2 linked regions of the Stegostoma tigrinum genome follow. The protein of the gene in region 2 interacts with the protein of the main gene of each other region in a pairwise test. Links are inferred from orthologs where the notes say so. Each region holds a gene or a part of one and is shown on either strand. Other genes may lie near its edges. The genes, in order: GRAM domain-containing protein 2B and transmembrane protein 43-like.

The links.
Region 1: the proteins of transmembrane protein 43-like (region 2) and GRAM domain-containing protein 2B interact in binary tests that used the Homo sapiens proteins (3 or more experiments, as listed by UniProt). The two-hybrid records come from large-scale screens. The link is inferred for Stegostoma tigrinum from reciprocal best matches to the Homo sapiens genes TMEM43 and GRAMD2B.

The regions. Positions count from the first base shown.
Region 1 is NC_081356.1:69,134,310-69,145,166, forward strand, and holds the start of GRAM domain-containing protein 2B, read right to left. Parts: upstream 5,482-10,857; 5' UTR 5,165-5,481; coding exon 5,073-5,164; intron 1-5,072.
Region 2 is NC_081364.1:2,798,000-2,808,907, forward strand, and holds the start of transmembrane protein 43-like, read left to right. Parts: upstream 1-6,225; 5' UTR 6,226-6,345; coding exon 6,346-6,360; intron 6,361-7,220; coding exon 7,221-7,367; intron 7,368-9,954; coding exon 9,955-10,089; intron 10,090-10,908. Other genes in the region: mitochondrial intermembrane space import and assembly protein 40-like, read right to left, coding at 4,616-4,637. UniProt on the Homo sapiens protein: May have an important role in maintaining nuclear envelope structure by organizing protein complexes at the inner nuclear membrane. Required for retaining emerin at the inner nuclear membrane.

The sequences.
Region 1 (10,857 bases), on a different chromosome or scaffold from region 2:
CTATACCCTCAAATCGTGAAGCAACTTTTGTTTAGTCATCTGGAGGATGGGGCTGTTAACAAAGCTATTCATTATTATGCATCCCCATTTGGCTCAAGTTATTAGTGAACCATTCACTTTGCCAGGCCATTGGGAGTAGTTTTATCACATCCAATGATTGTTAGGTGCAGAGTTTTAAGAAACACAGTAAAGCAAAATGAAAACATGTCCATCTCAGGATGGAGAGAGACTTGGTATGTGTTGCCTTTCTAAGGCAGAGAAGTTGGGAGGAGCTATTAAAAAGCCTCAGCAATTATCAATTGTCCTTTTCATAATGATGTATTATGTGTCCTTCTTTAACTGTAACTATAAAACATTCATATGTTGAGGGCAGTCAATTTTGTTTTTCCCCCCTCCCAAAGCAATACCGCACACTGCTCCACATTAACCCAAATCTGACAAATGTTTTCCCAAAGTTTTGACCCTCTTTCTGCATGTGGAGAACTAACACAGGCTCACCATTGACTCCTGGATTATATCCCTTTCCAACATTAACAACAGAAAATTACCCACAAAGTGTTTTCCATGTGTCAATCAACCATTTATGACTTGTTCTGCATCTCCTCAGACATTTTTGAATAATGTGCTCAACACATTTTTCTAGTCAGCTGTTCAGTGCATTACTTAAAAATGATTTATTTTTAACAGTTGTCTGTCTTCAATTAATGCCAAACTTGAAAATAAAATCTTTAAACTCTGACACCTTTATGATCATTCTTTCTGGATCAAGCCCATGGAGAGATGGCGGCTCGATCGTTTATAGTTTCGCATCTCGAAGTTGCATCCCAAATAAAGAAGAAAAATTTAGGGTGTGCCATTCTTTGCATGACCAATGGGTAAACGTCAAAAGTAATTAAAAACACAGGTTTGAACTCAAAAATAAAATAATTGAAACTTCAGCTTTGGGACTATTGACATCTTTTTATCTGGATGAAATAACAGCTTCTGCCAACTGGGTCGCTGGATAATGATACAGTAGAAGTAGTTCAGAGGCTTATGGGTTCAAGTAACAGGTCAAACAATGGACATGTAATCTTTCCAAAATGACTAAGCTGACATCTGATGGCTTTGGAGTAAGGCAGCCGACAGCTCAGTGTATGCAAGAGTTCAGCTGAGAGATTAACTTAGTGTTTTTGAATTCTTTGTTCATACATCAGACCTATGCAGTGGTTTTATTGTTTGTCATGATTTCACAAGATTCGGGATAAATTAGACCCAGCGTTGCTCTAATCCAGCCACACAACATTAAAAAAAAGGTCACTGCTTGATCTTTTAAAAAGTTTGGTATTTCCCATTTCAAGCATTTAAGTACACACAAAGCATCCCCAACAAATGCTCAAACTTTCAACGCTCTTCTCCCAAATCTATTTCAAAGCTCCAAATTTAATATCTTTGTATTCGAAGCGCTTTCATTCTACTTTCCTGACCCTAATGAGAGTTACTTAATTTCCAAATATTGTTCCTAGAAGGAAATGGGAAGTGGCTACACATATGGGATGTTACCGAGTTCATATTCTCATTGCCAAATGCAGCTGAAAAGTCCGTCATTCTACAGGAACAATCCAGTCTGTGTGATACCAAAAGGCCATGTCTGTGTCCACACCCCTATCAACCTGCTGCTATTATTAAACACCATAACACGGTTATGTTTGCTAATTCTTATTTTTTAGTGGCCTGTATAAAAGGATTATCTACCAAAGGATCTGTACCCAAATCTTTTACACAGTACATCATAGAACTAGTGTATTAAGCTTCTATCGAATATGCAGTCTTTTTGTGAGACCCTTTGTGATAACAACAGGACATTAGCAGGTCAAAATCTCGAACTATGTAGAAATTTTTAATATACTAGTCATTTTTCATTCCGTGAAAGGAACAATATCCAAACAGAAATCACAGTTGAAAATCCTCTGCATCTTGCCAATATACATGAACAGGTCCATATTGCACCTTTTCCCTCCCCCCATCCCCCTCTCTGATGAAGGGTCTAGGCCCGAAACGTCAGCTTTTGTGCTCCTGAGATGCTGCTTGGCCTGCTGTGTTCATCCAGCCCCACATTTTATTATCTTGGAATCTCCAGCATCTGCAGTTCCCATTATCTCTCTCTCTCCCATATTGCACCTCCTACAGTTTTCGCATTTTTTTCTTACTTTTTCCCCTCTGGAAATATACTGCCTCCTTTCAATGTTATAAAGATTTTGTATCATCTTACTTTCCATTATTGAACAAAAGGAGCCAACAGGAAAGTTAAATCAATAGAAAATAAATCAACAACACAAAATCCACATGGAGAGATCAATTACCCTCAGTCACACCAATCCAAGTAGTTGTTATTCTTGCATTTCCCATTTTACAAAGCCAGGGTCTGAACACAGGGGCAGCAATTACTTAGCTTCAGTTCAACAACAACAAAAAAGTCAAACTCGGTGATCCTAATTCAGGAACTGGAGCCTTGAGATTTCACTGCACTGAAGCATCATTGTATATAAAGCTGTTCAAAAGTAGTTTGAGTTTCTGTACAGCACAAGCATTTGTTAAAGATTTGTTTGGGTTTCAGAAGGGTCAGTGGACCTGAAATGTTAACTCAGATTTCTCTCTCTAGATGATGCCAGGCATGCTGAGATTTTCCAGCTATTTCTGTTAATGCTTCATGTTTTGATTATGATGTGTTCTGTTTTGCTTGCAATAGATGATTACTTAAAATTGTCTCAAGGTGAAGTGTGGAGGGGACAATTCACTATTGCTTAAACGCTGTCCAATCCACAATTCACCTCAGCTCTGAAGAAGAGTCACCTAGTCTTCAAGCATTAGCTTACTCTCCTTCCATGGATGCTGCCTGGTCCCCTATGATCCCCAGCACTTTTGGTTTCAAGTGCTCGCAGCCAACACAATTACAACAACATTTAAAAGGCATTTGAACAAGTACGTGAATAGGAGAGGTTTAGGTGGATACAGGCCAAACACAGGTAAGTGGGACTAGTTTAATTTGGGAAAACTTGGTTGACATGACCAAATTGGACCGAAGGGTCTGTTTCTGCACTGGGTGTTCTGTAACTCAACAAGGCTCCTCTTATACTGTCTTTCAAGCTCGTAACTACCTCTACTTAGAAAGTAGAAGACCATAGATGCATTAGAACACTATCACTGCAAGTTTATCTCTGACCCTTGCACCATCCTGACTTGGATTATTTCACTATCCCTTCTTATCACTGGATTAAAAACTCCCTACAACCAAAGTGATTCAAGAAGATGACTGGATGAGTGTGGGGGTGGGGAATGTGGAGCTGCAAGTGGGCATTAGTGAAAGGAAAATGGATAAAATTAAATTGGGACCGGGTAGGATAAACAAACGAGCGAGAGAGAGAGAGAGAACAAGTAGGTTAAGACTGACTTGGATGTCGGAGCATTGAGACAACCATGCATTATGCTTTGAGCATAGTGACAGAATGGCAGGGTGGGAAGAGAAAGGAGAAAAAGAAAGGGAGAAACAAGATTGAAAGCACTGACAGCATACTCTGCTGGAAGTAGTGCTGGACTAGTCGTCAGAAATGGGCTACCAGCACAGGTTGCAGGGGGTGAACAGACAGGGGCAAGCCTATTCAAGGTGCTGCAGCAAAACATGGTACAGACATAACTGATGTGAAGTTGAACAACTGGGCAACAGTCAAGATAGTTGTGGTGACCCAGTAGCTGGAATAGGATGTCTCTATATTTTCCACAGAGCAGGATGTAGAGAACGTGACCTGATTCAGGTGATGTAATTGTATCTCTAGTGAAGCTTGTCTGGTTGCTCTCCTAACTTTGAGCTAAACCCTACTGGAAACAGACTGAGGCAGAGGTTTATGCATTCAGGGTCCACTCCAGAAATTACAGCACAAAAATCTTTGTGGACATAGCAATGCATCACTGAATATTAATGCACTGGTAGAGGCACAGTCTTCTGGTCTGCCTCCACAGATAAATGGAAAGGTGTCATCAATATTTTGATGGGCATCAGGCACATTCTCTCCAGTGTTGTGGCACATATTTATTCCTCAGTCAACAATTAAACAAAGTGAGGTTAATTGAACTGTTTTTTTTTAAAAAATGAGCTATAGTGTTAGTCAATGGGCTGACAGTCTTCTGTGCTACTCTATTCAATGATAGAATAAAATTTTATTTTGCTGCTTGGGACTTTGCTTTCCACCAACTGGCAGCTTTACTACAATGGCATTTCACAGACTGGGAAGTGCTTCAGGATATCTTGGGATTAGAAAAACTGTGCACTGATCAAACAAAGTCTTCTTTTCTGCATAACCCCCATCCCACACAATCATTTCTTGTGATGTCAAGCTCAATTGATGCATTGTAGCCTCCAAGTGGTGGGTCAGATTCAAATCAATAGGCAATATTGGAATTACTTTCTACTGTTGTGAAGAATAATGGATTCAGAGGTGACAATGTTAAGTGCACCATTACTGTAAGTAATTATGTTAGTTATGAAAATTTTTGAAAGCACCTGGCACTGTACTGATATACTGAAAACAAAGTTTATTCCCTTTATTGGAGAAGAAGTACTTAAACTTGAAATTTTCTTGTTCTTAAAGCTGATCAAGAAGTGCTTGCTAAAGATCTATATCTAAAATAGTTTGTTTCAGATGCTTTCATCTAACCAAAACATTGCTGTTAGATATTGTAGAGTTAAAAGGAACTAGGTAAACAAACCTGCAGAACTCAAATTAAAAGTGAAATAACACTCATTATCTGCTACTCCTTTTCAATAATAGTTCATTTGGGCAAATGATGAAACAATGTGTTGTTCTACAAGACAGCAAAATACTGTCTGTAAAAGGTAAATCACTTAGCATTCAAGCATTAGAGGCCTAGTAAGCTAAACTTGAAACTAAAGTTGGCAGTAACAGTCTGCATATAGGTAAAACATACAAAAGCTAAACTAAAGCAGCTTAAGATTCAAACATTTTACTTGCAAACAACACTCAATATTCAGCAATTGCAATTTAAAATAATGCTTCGGAGGAAAACGTCATACTTACTGAAATGAAACGTTTTTAGAGTCTTTTTTACTAAGAAATCTTGTAGACTTCACTTCTTCCCCTGGAGTAGAATTCTGGCTTTGCTCAGTCATTGGCTTCTTTCTTACGAATTACTCGACTTACAAACTGGCTTCACCCCTGTATAACACTCCCCCAGACTTCAGGGAAGAGGGGGAAGGGATGTTCTTTGTTCCAGGCAGACGTGAGTATGCTCGAAAATCGCACCACCGGACGGGTAGCCTTTCCTGAGGAAAGCCGAAAGGAGAACAAAAACTGTTTGCTAATCTAACTAGGAGAACTTAGTCAGATAGGTTGCAAACTTTCTTAAAGCAGGCGTACAAACTTTTATTTTAGATTTTACTGAACAGTCCACCTATCGCCCGGAGGGAACACCTCCAATTGTGTAGTATCCACCCCTCCTTGTTATTTCAACCAATCATAAACGAAACTGCTAGCTCTGCAGGCACTCAGGGTGTGTATGACAGCAACCCTCCAATTTCGTGCAGCTATCAATGGTGTAAGTACATATTGTCAATTATTTAGACAGGGTATTACTTCACAACGTGCCCGGGTATTTTGATCACACTGTATGAGGTAATACTTGGAGAAAATGCTGGAGCCTCGGTGAAGAAACAGACAAATTCACAACCTTTGAGGGCTGTCTCCACTCTTTAGCTAAGATGCATTAAGTAGAACGGAGAGGAACGTTTTGACACCCCTACGATTTGGCATAGGGTTTATCTGTGCGTGGATATTAAGCCCTGCTGTTGCTACTGTTTTAAACAGCTATACATTTGTGCAGTGATAATGGGAACTGCAGATGCTGGAGAATCCAAGATAACAAAGTGTGGAGCTGGATGAACACAGCAGGCCAAGCAGCATCTCAGGAGCACAAAAGCTGACGTTTCGGGCCTAGACCCTTCATCAGAGAGGGGGATGGGGAGAGGGAACTGGAATAAACAGGGAGAGAGGGGGAGGTGGACCGAAGATGGAGAGAAAAGAAGATAGGTGGAGAGGAGAGTATAGGTGGGGAGGTAGGGAGGGGATAGGTCAGTCCAGGGAAGATGGACAGGTCCAGGAGGCGTGATGAGGTGGTAGGTAGGAAATGGAGGTGCGGCTTGAGGTGGGAGGAAGGGATGGGTGAGAGGAAGAACAGGTTAGGGAAGCAGAGACAGGCTGGGCTGGTTTTGGGATGCAGTGGGGGGAGGGAACGAAAGGGCTGGTTTTGTGATGCAGTGGGGGGAGGGGGGAAGAACTGGGCTGGCTTTGGGATGCGGTGGGGGAAGGGGAGATTTTGAAGCTTATGAAGTCCACGTTGATACCATTGGGCTGCAGGGTTCCCAAGTGGAATATGAGTTGCTGTTCCTGCAACCTTCGGGTGGCATCATTGTGGCACTGCAGGAGGCCCATGATGGACATGTCATCTAAAGAATGGGAGGCGGAGTTGAAATGGTTTGCGACTGGGAGGTGCAGTTGTTTATGCGAAGCATCCACTTTACCAACACCCTCCACCCCAACCTCAAGTTCACCTGGGCCATCTCCAACACATCCCTCACCTTCCTGGACCTCTCAGCCTCCATCTCAGGCCACCAGCTAGAAACTGATGTCCATTTCAAGCCCACTGACTCCCACAGCTACCTAGAATACACCTCCTCCCACCCACCCTCCTGCAAAAATTCCATCCCCTATTCCCAATTCCTCTGCCTCTGCCGCATCTGCTCCCAGGATGAGGCATTCCACTCCCGCACATCCCAGATGTCCACATTCTTCCAGGACCGCAACTTTCCCCCCGCAGTGGTCGAGAACGCTCTTGACCACGTCTCCCGCATTTCCCGCAACACATCCCCCACACCTCACCCTCGCCACAACCGCCCCCAGAGGATCCCCCTCGTCCTCACATACCACCCCACCAACCTCCGGATACAACGTATCATCCTCCGACACTTCCGCCATCTACAATCTGACCCGACCACCCAAGACATTTTTCCATCCCCATCCTTGTCTGCCTTCTGGAGAGACCACTCTCTCCGCGACTCCCTTGTCCACTCCAACCCCACCACACTCGGCACCTTCATGCCTCATCCCCCATCACCCCCATCCCAGGCCCCAGGATGACCTTCCATATCAAACAGATGTTCACCTGCACATCTGTCAATATGGTATATTGTATCCATTGCACCCGGTGTGGCACCCTCTACATTGGGGAAACCAAGCGGAGGCTTGGGGACTGCTTTGCAGAACACCTCTGCTCGCTTCGCAACAAACAACTGCACCTCCCAGTCGCAAACCATTTCAACTCCGCCTTCCATTCTTCAGACGACATGTCCATCATGGGCCTCCTGCAGTGCCACAATGATGCCACCCAAAGGTTGCAGGAACAGCAACTCATATTCCGCTTGGGAACCCTGCAGCCCAATGGTATCAACGTGGACTTCATAAGCTTCAAAATCTCCCCTTCCCCTACTGCATCCCAAAACCAGCCCAGTTCTTCCCCCCCACTTCCCCCACTGCATCACAAAACCAGCCCAGCTTGTCCCCTCCCCCCACTGCATCCCAAAACCAGCCCAGCCTGTCTCTGCTTCCCTAACCTGTTCTTCCTCTCACCCATCCCTTCCTCCCACCTCATGCCGCACCTCCATTTCCTACCTACCACCTCATCCTGCCTCCTTGACCTGTCCATCTTCCCTGGACTGACCTATCCCCTCCCTACCTCTCCACCTATACTCTCCTCTCTACCTAGCTTGTTTTCTCTCCATCTTCCGTCCGCCTCCCCCTCTCTCCCTATTTACTCCAGAACCCTCACCCCATCCTCCTCTCTGATGAAGAGTCTAGGCCCGAAATTTCAGCTTTGGTGCTCCTGAGATGCTGCTTGGCCTGCTGTGTTCATCCAGCTTCACACTTTGTTATCTTCTATACATTCGTGCAGTTTGGTTTGTATCTGTATAAAATTGAAGGCTGGGGCCAAGTTGGAAGGTCATATCGTTTATGCAGCTCAAAGAGGTTCTTCAATATCGCCGAATATTCAGTGTACTGAAGTTTGCCCTGTACTATAACGGATTCTAAGTCCAAAACAAAATAAGAAGTTTCTTCAAAAGCAATCAAAGGTAAATATGACTTCGTTCCATCGCTGTTTGCTCTTCTCCCCACCGATCTGGAAAAGTACAAAACCAACAGCTGACAGCTTCCTCTGCATAAAACATTGTGAAGTGGTGGACACGTCTACGTGTGTGCAGACTCTCTTCATATCCTTTGCACAATGTGCAATAGCTATCTCTCTGTAATGCCACATATGGAATTATTGGTTAAATTATAGTGCTTAAAATGAGCTGCTGGGCCCTCTAGTGGCTGGAACACAGTGTGGCTCCTGATGTGTGGTTTCTGTTTTGATGACGGTGAAACCCGGGGCAGATTGGTTCTGCTATAATGCGTGTTCTGTCAATGCAAATTGGCGATAATGCGATTGATGAATAGGGGAACACTGTTTCTAAAATATGAAATAAGAAGGCGTAGAGCTGGATGAGCACAGCAGGCCAAGCAACATTAGAGAAGCAGGAAAGCTGACGTTTCGGGTCCGGACCCTTCTTCAGAAGATCCATTTCTGAAGAAGGGTCCAGACCCGAAATGTCAGCTTTCCTGCTCCTCTAATGCTGCTTGGCCTGCTGTGTTCATCCAGCTCTACACCTTGTTATGTCAGATTCTCCAGCATCTGCAGTTCCTGCTGTCTTTAAAATGCCAACTTGTGTTGGCTATAACATGATTCCATTGGTGTGTGGAGGAGCACATGTCAGCATCACATGATTGTACTGTTTCACGACAAAGCCTGTGAAACAATGTTAGCACCGATAGAGTCTCCACACCAGCATCACATGATCATTTGTGGGCTTTGTTGTGAAGTGCTTTTTGTGAGAGGTACAGTACAACCTTCGTCCCCATCTAGTCAACTTGACATTTTTTCAAGGTAACATGTTAAATTTACTTTTATTTCACTATTAGATATGAACTAAACATTTATTCAAGTTGTGTTATCCTTTGTGTTAGGCTTTTGAGTGATTTTTGAGCAAATATTGAGTGATTTTTTTTGTTGTTGTCTGCCCCAATCCCATTTTTCCCATAGGACTCATTATTTCATTGGTGCGATTTTTCTGTTACACGATGTTGCACGGGTACACAACTATACGTTATAGCAGAACCTCTGCATGGGAAATTGATATTCCTGAGCACACTAGTGCTTGTTCTTGGTGGTCATCCCCAGTGAGCATCATTGCTCTTTTCTTCAGATGGGTTTCACTGCATCCAGAAGCAGCAATGGGACTATTTTTGCCATTAAATTGCTATTGCCAGTGTTGGTGTGTCTACGATAGCTGTGCTATACCGTGGGCCTGGATTTGACTCATGATTGCAATCTCAGGTTTATCATGAGGGACGTTACATTTCAAAGGCTTTGCATTTGGAGCAGATATCTGCATTCAGTTCAGTTTAGAAAAAACATCATTACAGCAGTATTTCCTTGAGTCACAGCGACAGCATACCTGACACATTCCCAGTCCCTTCCAGTGAGGCTTTGTGTAATCCTCGCCTCTCAGCCAGATCATTGTGAACTAAAGTCTCACTCCACTCCTCTGATTCCAGAATAAAAGTTTGGCTGCATGTTGGCGTAGTATTGACGAAGTGCTCCACTTTCAAAGGTGCAGCCTTTTGATGGAGACCTTAAATTGACACCTGTCTGTTATTGCAACAGAATGTCAAAGATCTCATGATATTACCTTGAAGAAAGCAATGGGGTTGTCCCTGGTATCCTGACCAATGTTTAACTCGCAAACCATCTCACAACAAAAGATTCTCTGATGATTTGTATTGCTATTTATGGACGGCTATGTGCACATTAGCTGCTACTTGCCAACATTGCAAAAATGACAGCGTATCAAATGTACTCCATCGGCTATAAAGAGCTTCGGCGAGTCCCAAGATCATGAAATATAAGTGGAAAGTAAGTCTATCTTTGTTTCTGTTCCTGAATCAGACATTTGTATGTTTAAGCCCCACACTAAGCTGATATGCTGCTGTATTGTTACTGTTTAGCATTTAATAATGTTCATAAAGAAATTATGGGATAGCTGGTACAAGGAATGGAAAGTGTATCACGAGCAATGCGAATGGTATATTTCAGCACATTATTGGAGCTTTCCTGCACATTTAAAGGTGGTGGTGGTGTTATGTCAATGGACTAACAAACCAGAGCCCCAGGCTAATGTCTTAGCATACAGCTAGAATTCTGCCATGGGAGATGGTGAAATTTGAACTCAATGAAAAGCTCTGGACTGAACAGCTGGCCTAATAGCAATCATGTAATCACCATTAATTGTAACAAAAACACATCTGGTTCATTAATGTTCTTTGGGGGAGGAAATCTGCCATCCTTACCTGGTCTGGCCTACATGTGACTCCAAACTCATTGCAATATGGTTAACTCTTAACTGCCCTATGCACAAGCAAGGATGGGCAACAAATGCTGGCCTAACCAGCAATGCTCACATTGCATGAATGAATTTTTAAAATGTTTGCTAATATTCAGGGTCTGAAGTGGAAGATGCTCCATTCACCAACAGAGGCATCACAATATTTTCAAAGTGCACTTCTGCCAGCAGAAGTAATTTATTTTTGAGTGAGTGTATGAAGACATTTTTCTTCTGTTTTGACCTTATTTCCTAGTCTGCATTTCTCTGACTGGTACTGCACAAAACTCTGATAACAGGAAGAAATGCTCTTCATAATTATACGACAGCTA
Region 2 (10,908 bases):
CCTCCTCACCCCCCCACCCCACCCCACCTCCTCTCCTCACCCCCCACCCCACCTCCTCACCCCCCCACCCCACCCCACCTCCTCACCCCCCCACCCCACCCCACCTCCTCTCCTCACCCCCCCCACCCCACCCCACCTCCTCTCCTCACCCCCCCACCCCACCTCCTCACCCCCCCCACCCCACCCCACCTCCTCACCCCCCCACCCCACCCCACCTCCTCACCCCCCACCCCAAATCCTCACACCCCCACCCCACCTCCTCACCCCCCCCACCCCACCTCCTCACCCCCCCCACCCCACCCCACCTCCTCACCCCCCCACCCCACCCCACCTCCTCACCCCCCACCCCACCCCACCTCCTCACCCCCCACCCCACCTCCTCACCCCCCCACCCCACCCCACCTCCTCACCCTCCCACCCCACCTCCTCACCCTCCCACCCCACCTCCTCACCCCCCCACCCCACCCCACCTCCTCACCCCCCCACCCCACCTCCTCACCCCCCCACCTCACCTCCTCACCCCCCCACCTCCTCACCCCCCCACCCCACCTCCTCACCCCCCCACCCCACCTCCTCACCCCCCCACCCCACCTCCTCACCCCCCCACCTCACCCCCCCACCCCACCTCACCTCCTCACCCCCCCACCCCACCCCACCCCACCTCCTCACCCCCCCACCCCACCCCACCTCACCTCCTCACCCCCCCACCCCACCTCACCTCCTCACCCCCCCACCCCACCTCACCTCCTCACCCCCCCACCCCACCTCACCTCCTCACCCCCCCACCCCACCCCCTCACCCCCCCCACCCCACCCCACCCCCTCACCCCCCCACCCCACCCCAACCCACCTCCTCACCCCCCCACCTCACCTCCTCACCCCCCCTCCTCACCCACCTCACCTCCTCACCCCCCTCACCCACCCCACCTCCTAATGCCCCTCACCCACCCCACCTCCTCACCCCCCTCACCCACCCCACCTCCTCACCCACCTCACCCACCCCACCTCCTCACCCACCTCACCCACCCCACCTCCTCACCCCCCTCACCCACCTCACCCACCCCACCTCCTCACCCCCCTCACCCACCCCACCTCCTCATCCCCCTCCTCACCCCGCTCACCCACCCCACCTCCTCACCCCCCCAACGCCTCACCCACCCCACCCCCCTCACCCACCCCACCCCCCTCACCCACCCCACCTCCTCACTCCCCTCACCCACCCCACGCCCTCACCCACCTCACCCACCCCCCTCACCCCCCCCTCCTCACCCCCCCTCCTCACTCACCCCCCTCACCCACCCCCCTCACCCCCCCCTCCTCACCCACCCCTCCTCACCCACCCCCCCTCACCCACCCCACCTCCTCACCCCCCTCCTCACCCCCCTCACCCACCCCACCCCCTCACCCCCCCCCCTCACCCCCCTCACCCACCCCACCCCCTCACCCCCCCCCCTCACCCCCCCTCCTCACCCACCCCCCTCAACCCCCCCTCCTCACCCACCCCCCTCACCCCCCCCTCCTCACCCCCCCCTCCTCACCCACCCCCCTCACCCCCCTCCTCACCCACCCCCCTCACCCCCCCCTCCACACCCCCCCCTCCTCACCCCCCCTCCTCACCCCTCCTCAACCCCCTCACCCCCCCACCTCCTCACCCACCTCACCCCACCCCACTCACCCACCCCCCTCACCCCCCCTCCTCACCCCCCCCTCACCCCCCCACCTCCTCACCCCCCCCACCCCCCCACCTCCTCACCCCCCCCTCCTCACCCCCCTCACCCCCCCCTCCTCACACCCCTCACCCCCCCTCCTCACACCCCTCACCCCCCCACCTCCTCACCCCCCTCACTCCCCACCTCCTCACCCCCCTCACCCCCCCCACCTCCTCACCCCCCTCACCCCCCCACCTCCTCACCCCCCTCACCCCCCCACCTCCTCACCCCCCCACCTCCTCACCCCCCTCACCCCCCCACCTCCTCACCCCCCTCACCCCCCCACCTCCTCACCCCCCTCACCCCCCCACCTCCTCACCCCCCTCACCCCCCCACCTCCTCACCCCCCTCACCCCCCGCTCACCCACCCCACCTCCCGCTCACCCACCCCACCTCCTCACCCCCCTCACCCACCCCTCACACATCCCACCTCCTCACCCCCCTCACCCACCCCACCTCCTCACCCCCCTCACCTCCTCACCCCCCTCACCCACCCCACCTCCTCACCCCCCTCACCCACCCCACCTCCTCACCCCCCTCACCCACCCCACCTCCTCACCCCCCTCACCCACCCCACCCCCTCACCCACCCCACCTCCTCACCCACCCCACCTCCTCACCCCCCTCACCCACCCCACCTCCTCACCCCCCTCACCCACCCCACCTCCTCACCCACCCCACCTCCTCACCCCCCTCCTCACCCCCTCACCCACCCCACCTCCTCAACCCCCTCACCCACCCCACCTCCTCACCCCCCTCACCCACCCCACCTCCTCACCCCCCTCACCCACCCCACCTCCTCACCCCCCTCACCCCCCCCTCCTCACCCCCCCTCACCCCCCCTCACCCACCCCCCTCCTCACCCCCCTCACCCACCCCCCTCCTCACCCCCCTCACCCACCCCCCCTCCTCACCCCCCTCACCCACCCCACCTCCTCACCCACCCCACCTCCTCACCCCCCTCCTCAACCCCACCTCCTCAACCCCCTCACCTCCTCAACCCCCTCACCCACCCCACCTCCTCAACCCCACCTCCTCAACCCCCTCACCTCCTCAACCCCCTCACCCACCCCACCTCCTCAACCCCCTCACCCCCCCCACCTCCTCAACCCCCTCACCCCCCCCACCTCCTCACCCCCCTCACCCACCCCACCTCCTCACCCCCCTCACCCACCCCACCTCCTCACCCCCCTCTTCACCCCCCTCACCCACCCCACCCCACCCCCTCACCCACCCCACCCCACCCCCTCACCCACCTCACCCACCCCACCCCCCTCACCCACCCCACCCCTCACCCCCCTCACCCACCCCCCCTCCTCACCCCCCTCACCCACCCCCCTCACCCCCCCCACCCCCTCACCCACCCCCCTCCTCACCCCCCTCACCCCCTCACCCACCCCCTCACCCACCCCCTCACCCACCCCCCTCACCCACCCCCCTCCCACCCCCCTCACCCCCCCCACCCCCCTCACCCCCCCCCCACCCCCTCACCCCCCTCACCCCCTCACCCACCCCCTCACCCACCCCCCTCCTCACCCCCCTCACCCCCCCCACCCCCTCACCCACCCCCCTCCTCACCCCCCTCACCCCCCCCACCCCCTCACCCACCCCCCTCCTCACCCCCCTCACCCCCCCCACCCCCTCACCCACCCCCCTCCTCACCCCCCCCACCCCCTCACCCACCCCCCTCCTCACCCCCTCACCCCCCCCCACCCCCTCACCCACCCCACCTCCTCACCCACCCCACCTCCTCACCCCCCTCCTCACCCACCCCACCTCCTCACCCACCCCACCTCCTCACCCCCCTCCTCACCCACCCCACCTCCTCACCCACCCCACCTCCTCACCCCCCTCCTCACCCACCCCACCTCCTCACCCCCCTCACCCACCCCACCTCCTCAACCCCCTCACCTCCTCAACCCCCTCACCCACCCCACCTCCTCAACCCCCTCACCCACCCCACCTCCTCACCCCCCCTCACCCACCCCACCCCCCTCACCCACCCCACCCCTCACCCCCCTCACCCACCCCACCCCCCCCACCCCCTCACCCACCCCCCCTCCTCACCCCCCTCACCCACCCCCCTCACCCACCCCCCTCACCCACCCCCCTCCTCACCCCCCTCACCCACCCCCCTCACCCTCCCCCCCTCCCCCTCCCCCCCTCCTCACCCACCCCCCTCACCCTCCCCCCCTCCTCACACCCCTCCTCACCCTCCCCCCCTCCTCACCCCCCCCCCTCCTCACCCCCCCCCCCTCCCCACCCCCCTCACCCACCCCCCTCACCTCACCCACCCCCCTCACCCACCCCCCTCACCCACCCCCCTCACCTCACCCACCCCCCTCACCCACCCCCCTCACCCCACCCACCCCCCTCACCCACCCCCCTCCTCACCCACCCCCCTCCTCACCCACCCCCCTCACCCCCTCACCCACCCCCCTCACCCCCTCACCCACCCCCCTCCTCACCCCCCTCACCCCCCCCACTCCTCACCCCCCTCACCCCCCCCACCCCCCCCACCCCCTCCTCACCCCCCTCACCCACCCCCCTCCTCACCCCCCTCACCCACCCCCCTCCTCACCCCCCCCACCCCCTCACCCACCCCCCTCCCCCACCCCCACCCCCTCACCCACCCCCCTCCCCCACCCCCCTCCTCACCCCCCTCCCCTACCCCCCTCCTCACCCCCCTCCCCTCCTCACCCCCCTCACCCCCTCACCCACCCCCCTCCTCACCCCCTCCTCACCCTCACACCTGACCCTCCGTTCCCCCACCCCCTCACCCACCCCCCTCCTCACCCACCCCCCTCCTCACCCCCTCCTCACCCCCCTCCCCCACCCCCCTCCTCACCCCCCTCACCCCCTCACCCTCACACCTGACCCTCCGTTCCCCACCCCCCCGGCCCCTCACCGTGCCGCCGGCAGTGGGACATCTCTCTCTCTCTCTGTCTCTCTCTCTGTCTCTCTCTCTCTCTCTCTCTCTGTGTGAGGGTTCGTGTCCGGGGGGGTGGGGAAGAAATGTGTTTCTCAGTCTCCGGCCCGTGCTCCCGGCCTGACCTCTGACCCACAGGCAGGAACCAATCACAGCGAGAGGGCGGGGCCAGAACCGGGGGCCCAATTTAAAGCCGCAGAGACGGCCCAAAGCACCTACCCTATGGAATCTATAACATACACCCTATAGAATGCACAATGTCCGTCATACTAATCCATTAGAATGTATAATGTCCACAATACCTACCCTGTAGAATCTATATTTTCCGTAAACCCACCCTATGGAATGTATATTGTCCATAATACCCACCCTATGGAATGTATAATATCCATCACATCCACCTACTGAATAAACAATATTTATTAAGTTATAATGGACCAACGAGTTTGTGAGAATGGGTGATTGTGGTCATTGAGAGAATCAGGTGTGGCTGTGGGTAAAAAGCATGGACGGACTGTATTAGGCTCTTAAGGTTATTGAACTCATTGTTGAGTTCTAGAGGCCACAAGATCCCCGAGTGGAAAGTAAGATGTTCTTTGACCTTGCATTGAGGTTGGCTGGAACTCTACAGCAAGCCTGCAACAGAAATTTTGGCATGAGAACACAGCGGTGTGTTGAAGTGGCAGGCAACAGAAAGCTTAGGATCATTTTTGCAGACAGAGCTTGGTTTTCTGCAAAGCGGTTTGTGTGACGCAGACTAGGTTACATTCTGTACAGCTCACCGATTTTCTCCTACTCTTAGCTCTCATTGTCACATATTCAGTTTTTTTTCTATTCTGGCCTGCTACCCGTAATTTCCCTGTCTACCTAGCTCTTTCATATCTCTGTCTCTGGGCTCCGTCTCCACCAATCCGCCCTCATCTCCCCTTCAGATTCCCAGCTTCAGCTTCAGCATAAATATCACATTTTTCTGGCTCATACCAGCTCTGATGAAGAGTCTCTGGACCCTGTGCTTTCTTCCCACAGTTGCTGTCAGTCCTACTGAGTTTCTCCAGCAATTTCTATTTTTGTTTTAGATTTCCAGCATTTGTAATTCATTGTTTTATTTTAATCTATAGAATCCACAGGCTCAAATATTGTACAATATGTAATAACATGTGATTAATCTGTAGAATTGACCAGCAGGAAAGTGCAGTGAAAGACACAATTGGATGAGTATGAACTTATAGAATGGCAGTATAAGTGAGTTTTGAGAAGTTTTGACAGTATAAGTCAGGGGCTGTCCCTGCTCCAAGCTAAGATGGTCTTGAAATTTTGTGTGGCCATGTTCAGTACAATTGTGCAATCACCTCAATATGAGTGGATGCAGGTGAATAAAGTCATTTATATACTGGGGTTTCATTTTCCCTGGGGACCAGGTTCAAGCTGAAGAAAACTACAGCTCCCAGCATGCTTGCGGGAGGGTCCTAACCTTCCCAGGCGGAGCCCGGGGAGGCCACCACCCAGCATCCTCCGGTAGGTAAGACTACAATCCCCAGCATTCCTGGGGAGTCGACACCATCTCCCGGCAAGCTTCACGGGAGTAGGTCCGTCCCTCAGGAGTGCGCAGGCGCAGAATGTATCCCCCTTGAAGCCGGAAGTGAAGGTGTGAGAGGGGCTAGAGCTGACTGTGGTCTCCCCCCTCAGTGTGTGTTATTGGCAGGGAAACCATGGTGAGGCCTAATGTAAGTTCAGAACCACAAACAACAGCCTTGTCAACGTGCAGGTGAAGATTAATCTGAATTGGCGTTGGACACATTATCATCTGAAGATATTCCTGGGGAAGGGAGTTCCCTTCTATATTCTGACAGCCCAGATCCACGTGGCACAGCTTTGAACCTGAGGAAGACAAAGTTCCCATCTCCCTGGCATATTTGCAAGAGATCTGATATCTCTTCTTGTAAAATCAAAGGGGCTAACCAGAGTCCTTCTCCCTACCTCCCCCCCCCCCCCCCCCCCCAATCAGAACCACCAACCCTTCCCTATGTCTACTATGGCCCTGGACTGAAGCCAACAACTCTCCATCAGTTGCTGTTTTTTTTGTTTCTAATCAGCACAATTGTTGGCCAGTGCCAGAGCAAATCAAAATGATGCTGCACTATAATCAAAACATAATGGGTGGGAGGGTGCAAGTCTTGGTTAGTGAGATGTCACTGACGATGTGTAAATGACTTCAGACCCATTTGTCAAGATTATATTTTAAATGCTGTGTAAGATCCTCAGCTAAGTCAGTCAGCTCAATTATACTGGTTCTGGGTAAAATGAATGGGCAATAAATGTCAGTCTGACCAGGAATGCCCACAGCCCAACATCAAAAATTGTGTCACTGTTGTTTAAACACCTTCTGTTTTTGGGTGTGCCTGTACTGAATGGCCTGCAGCAGTTAATGAAGGCAGACAACATTTTGAAGGGAATTTAGAGATGGCCAGCCTAGCCAATACTATTCCACATCCCGTGAAAATGTTTACAAAGTTCATCTGTCTTCATTTCGCTTTTAAGATGGTACTTAAAGATTCATGAAAGCTTGTCCCTTCTGGTTTTGCAGCAACCAGGAGGCAGCAGGGATGAACACGTGAAGGTCACAAATCAGAAGAAGCAGGGATTCCTGGAACGTCTTGGGGAGACAATGGGGGGAATGGTGGTGGGAGTGCTTATCTTCACCTTGTCCTTCTACCTCCTCTTCACCAATGAGGTAGGTGCAGAGGTTGGATTACATGCTGTTTTCTGGGCAGGCATCAGTTATCCTGTTCAATTTGTGGTATCAGTGTCTGTTGCTCAGTGGGTAGCTCGCGCTCATTTCTGAATCAGAAGTTCATGGGTTCAAATCCCACATCAGGGACCTGGGCAAACAGAAGAATCTGAGGTGATAGTTTTTGTAAAATGCATGATGAGGAACGTTGATGTGAAACTTAACTGGATTTGATACACAACAAAACGTAAACAACGTGGCTACAAGAGCAGGTCAGAGGCTAGGAATACACCGGTGTGTAACTCCCCTCCTGACTCCCCAAAACACATCTAACCATCTAAAGGCACAAGTCAGGAGTGTGATGGAATACTCCCCACTTGCCTGGATGGATGCAGCTCTAACAACACTCAAGAAGGAATGAGGTGTGCAGTGAGCTGCCAATGTGTCGTTACTTGGCTTCATGTTCCTTACAGATAAAAGATCAAAGCTGAATGAGCTGAACTGTGAACTGCACAGAGAGGATAGAGACTTAGCAATGTGGGATCATTTCTACAGGCTAATTTCAGGAATTAGATGCATTGGAATGAACGGTCATGTCTCCCTCCGGTCTCTTCCTTCAAGTAGACGTTGTTGGGCTGGCTATCAGATTCCATTAGGTATTTGATTTACAAGTCCGTGGTATTGAAGTGGACATAATTAACTGTGCCAAATGATATTGAGCTGGAAGCTGGAACAAGGGACAGTGATGTTTGGAGATTTGTAAACAGAGAAAAATACACACTGCTATTATCCTGTGGTTTTACAATGAAAGCTTTGGTACCACATCCCTCTGAGACAGCATTCTCCCAAATACAGATAATCAAGTCCAAGTATCTCACCTGCCTCACAAATGCCCGTGTGATGGACTGTATAGAACTAGCTAGTTCAAATTATAATTTGGCTACTCAAAGAGGAGGATAACATACTGAGCCTATATGTAGAAGACAAAATGAATAATCAGATATACTAAAAATAAATGCATTATTTTCTTTCAGGTAGATTCTTGTTTGCACTAAAACTCAAAAAGTGATCTTGTGCTTAAGAATGTTGAAGTCCCTTGAAATAACACCATCTTCCTTCCTCTGGCTATCTGAGTTCTTCTAGATGTTGTCATGTCCCGGTTACCGCTCACTAGTATTCCCTGTAAACTGGGCACAGCAGCGTGGTAGGGCAGTGACACAGAATATTCTGCTTGGTGCAGTTACCAGGAACATTGCCCATGTGTGTTGTTGATGAACGTTTTGCTCACAGTCTGACGGTAATTCCATTGAAAAAATCATCAACCACTTGTTTGAACCCAACATAGACTCGCACTTTACATCTTGCTGTAACCTCTTCCAGTCCCCAAATCCTCCGATATCTCTGCCTCGCTCCAATTCTAATCCCTGGAGTATCTGTGATTTTAATCCCTCCGCCATTGAATGCTATACCGACAGCTGTCTGGACTCAACACTCTAGAATTCCCTCCATAAACCTCTCTAATTGTCTCTTTCTTTATCTCTCTATCCTCCTTTAAGATGCCGGTCTGTTTGAGATTTTGGTCACTAATGCTGCATTTTTATGTTGCTGGGTGACGGTTATTCTCTAATCTACGTTCTTGTGAAATGTCTTGGAACATTTTATATTGTGCTGATGTAGTTCTATAAAAGCAGGTTTATTTACAAGGCTCCTCTGACAACATCTCCTAAAACCATAACAGTTACCATCTGGAAAGAAAACGGTAGCACATGCAGGCACTCGCTGGGTTGGGAATGGGTCCCAGTCCTGACCCCATTCACAAACTGACTTGTACCCAGATTGGAGCACAGTGAAGGACAGTGTAGAGGAACTGTTCCTAAATTCAGGAAGTGTTCATGTGTTGGGTGTATAAAATTTCTCCCTTTATGGAATTGTGTTTGTAAGTAGGAGTGTTTGTAAATCAGTGACCCCCGTATGTGGGAACACCATCCCCTGCAAGTTCCCCTCCAAGCCCCTCACCATCCTGACTTGGAAATATATCCCCGTTCCTTCAGTGCCACTGTGCCAAAATCCTGGAATTCCCTCCCTAAGGGACATTGTGGGTCAACTCACAGCACATGGACTGCAGTGGCTCTTGAAGGCATCTCATCCCCACCTTCTCAAGAGAGCAACTACGGACGGACAATAAATGTTGAATTGAATTGAGTTAACTCTATTGTCATGTACTCAAATGAGTACAGTGATCAGTTTATGTGTCGCCACTTACAGCACCACCTTAGGTACAAAGGTACCGAGGTTCAGATTCTTTAGTAACTCCGTCTTAGAAAACAGAGAAGTAAAAGCCCAGAACAACCATCTTCCCACCCAGCCCACACTGGCACCTCCAGTCCACACTGGGCCCTGGCTCCAGATCATGCTTGGCCAAGAGACTGCCACACTGGGGTGTCCAGCTAGTCACACCCATGTCCTGTGAATTAATTGTTAATATATGTTGCTGTCTTCAGCTGCTGTGGTGAATGAGCTTTCTTTTGTCTAATTTTCACTCCATAGCACTTATCAATGTTTGCCAACTGTAACACTCCTTCTTGTGCAGGGAAGATGTGTCAGAACTCAGAACTCCCTGGATGAAGGTCTTTCCCTGGTGGTGTCCTTAAGTGATGTCTTCACTCCTTTACCTCAAAATGATGGGAAACTTGTGCATCTCTCTGGCTCCCTCTTGACATTGCAGGTGAGTGAGGAATATCCTGTCTTGAAAATAAATAGTTTCCTGAGGTAATGGGGTCAAATAGATGGAGGTGATGGCCTAATGGTATTATCACTGCATGGGTAAACGCCAGCTAATGTTCTGGGCACCAGGGTTCAAATCCCACCCCGACAAATGATAGAACTTGATCAATTAAACAGAAAACCTGTAATTATAAATATATTGATGACCATGTAACCATTGTTGATTGTTGTAAAATCCTGTCTGAGTCTATTAGTATCCTTTGAGGAAGAAATATGCCATCCTTACCCTGGCCCACATGGGACTTCAGATCCACAGCAGTGTGGTTGACTCTTAACCCTATGAAATGGCCTTGCAAGCCACTCAGTTGTGTCAATTGCTAGAAAGGAAAAAATATTAAATGTGACAGATCACCTGGCATTGACCTAAGATAATGGCAGAAACAGCCCTGTCGACCCTACAGTGTCCTCCTTACTGAGATACTGGTGCTAGTACAACTAGGAGAGCTCTCTCATATTCACAGAATCATACCTTACAAACAGTGTCCCAGATACCAGCATCACCATCCCTGGAAATGTCCTGTCGCACTGAGAGGTCAGACCCGGTTGGGGGACGGTTAAACATGGGCAAGGAAACCTCCTGCTAATTACCACATACCATCCTCCCTCAGCCGATGGATCAGTCTCTCCTCCATGTTGAACAACACTTAGAGGAACCACTGAGGATGCTAAGGGCACAAAATGTGCTCTGGGTGGGGGATTTCAATGCCCAACACGAACAGTGGCTCCACAGCAGTACTACTGATCGAGCTGGTCGGGTCCT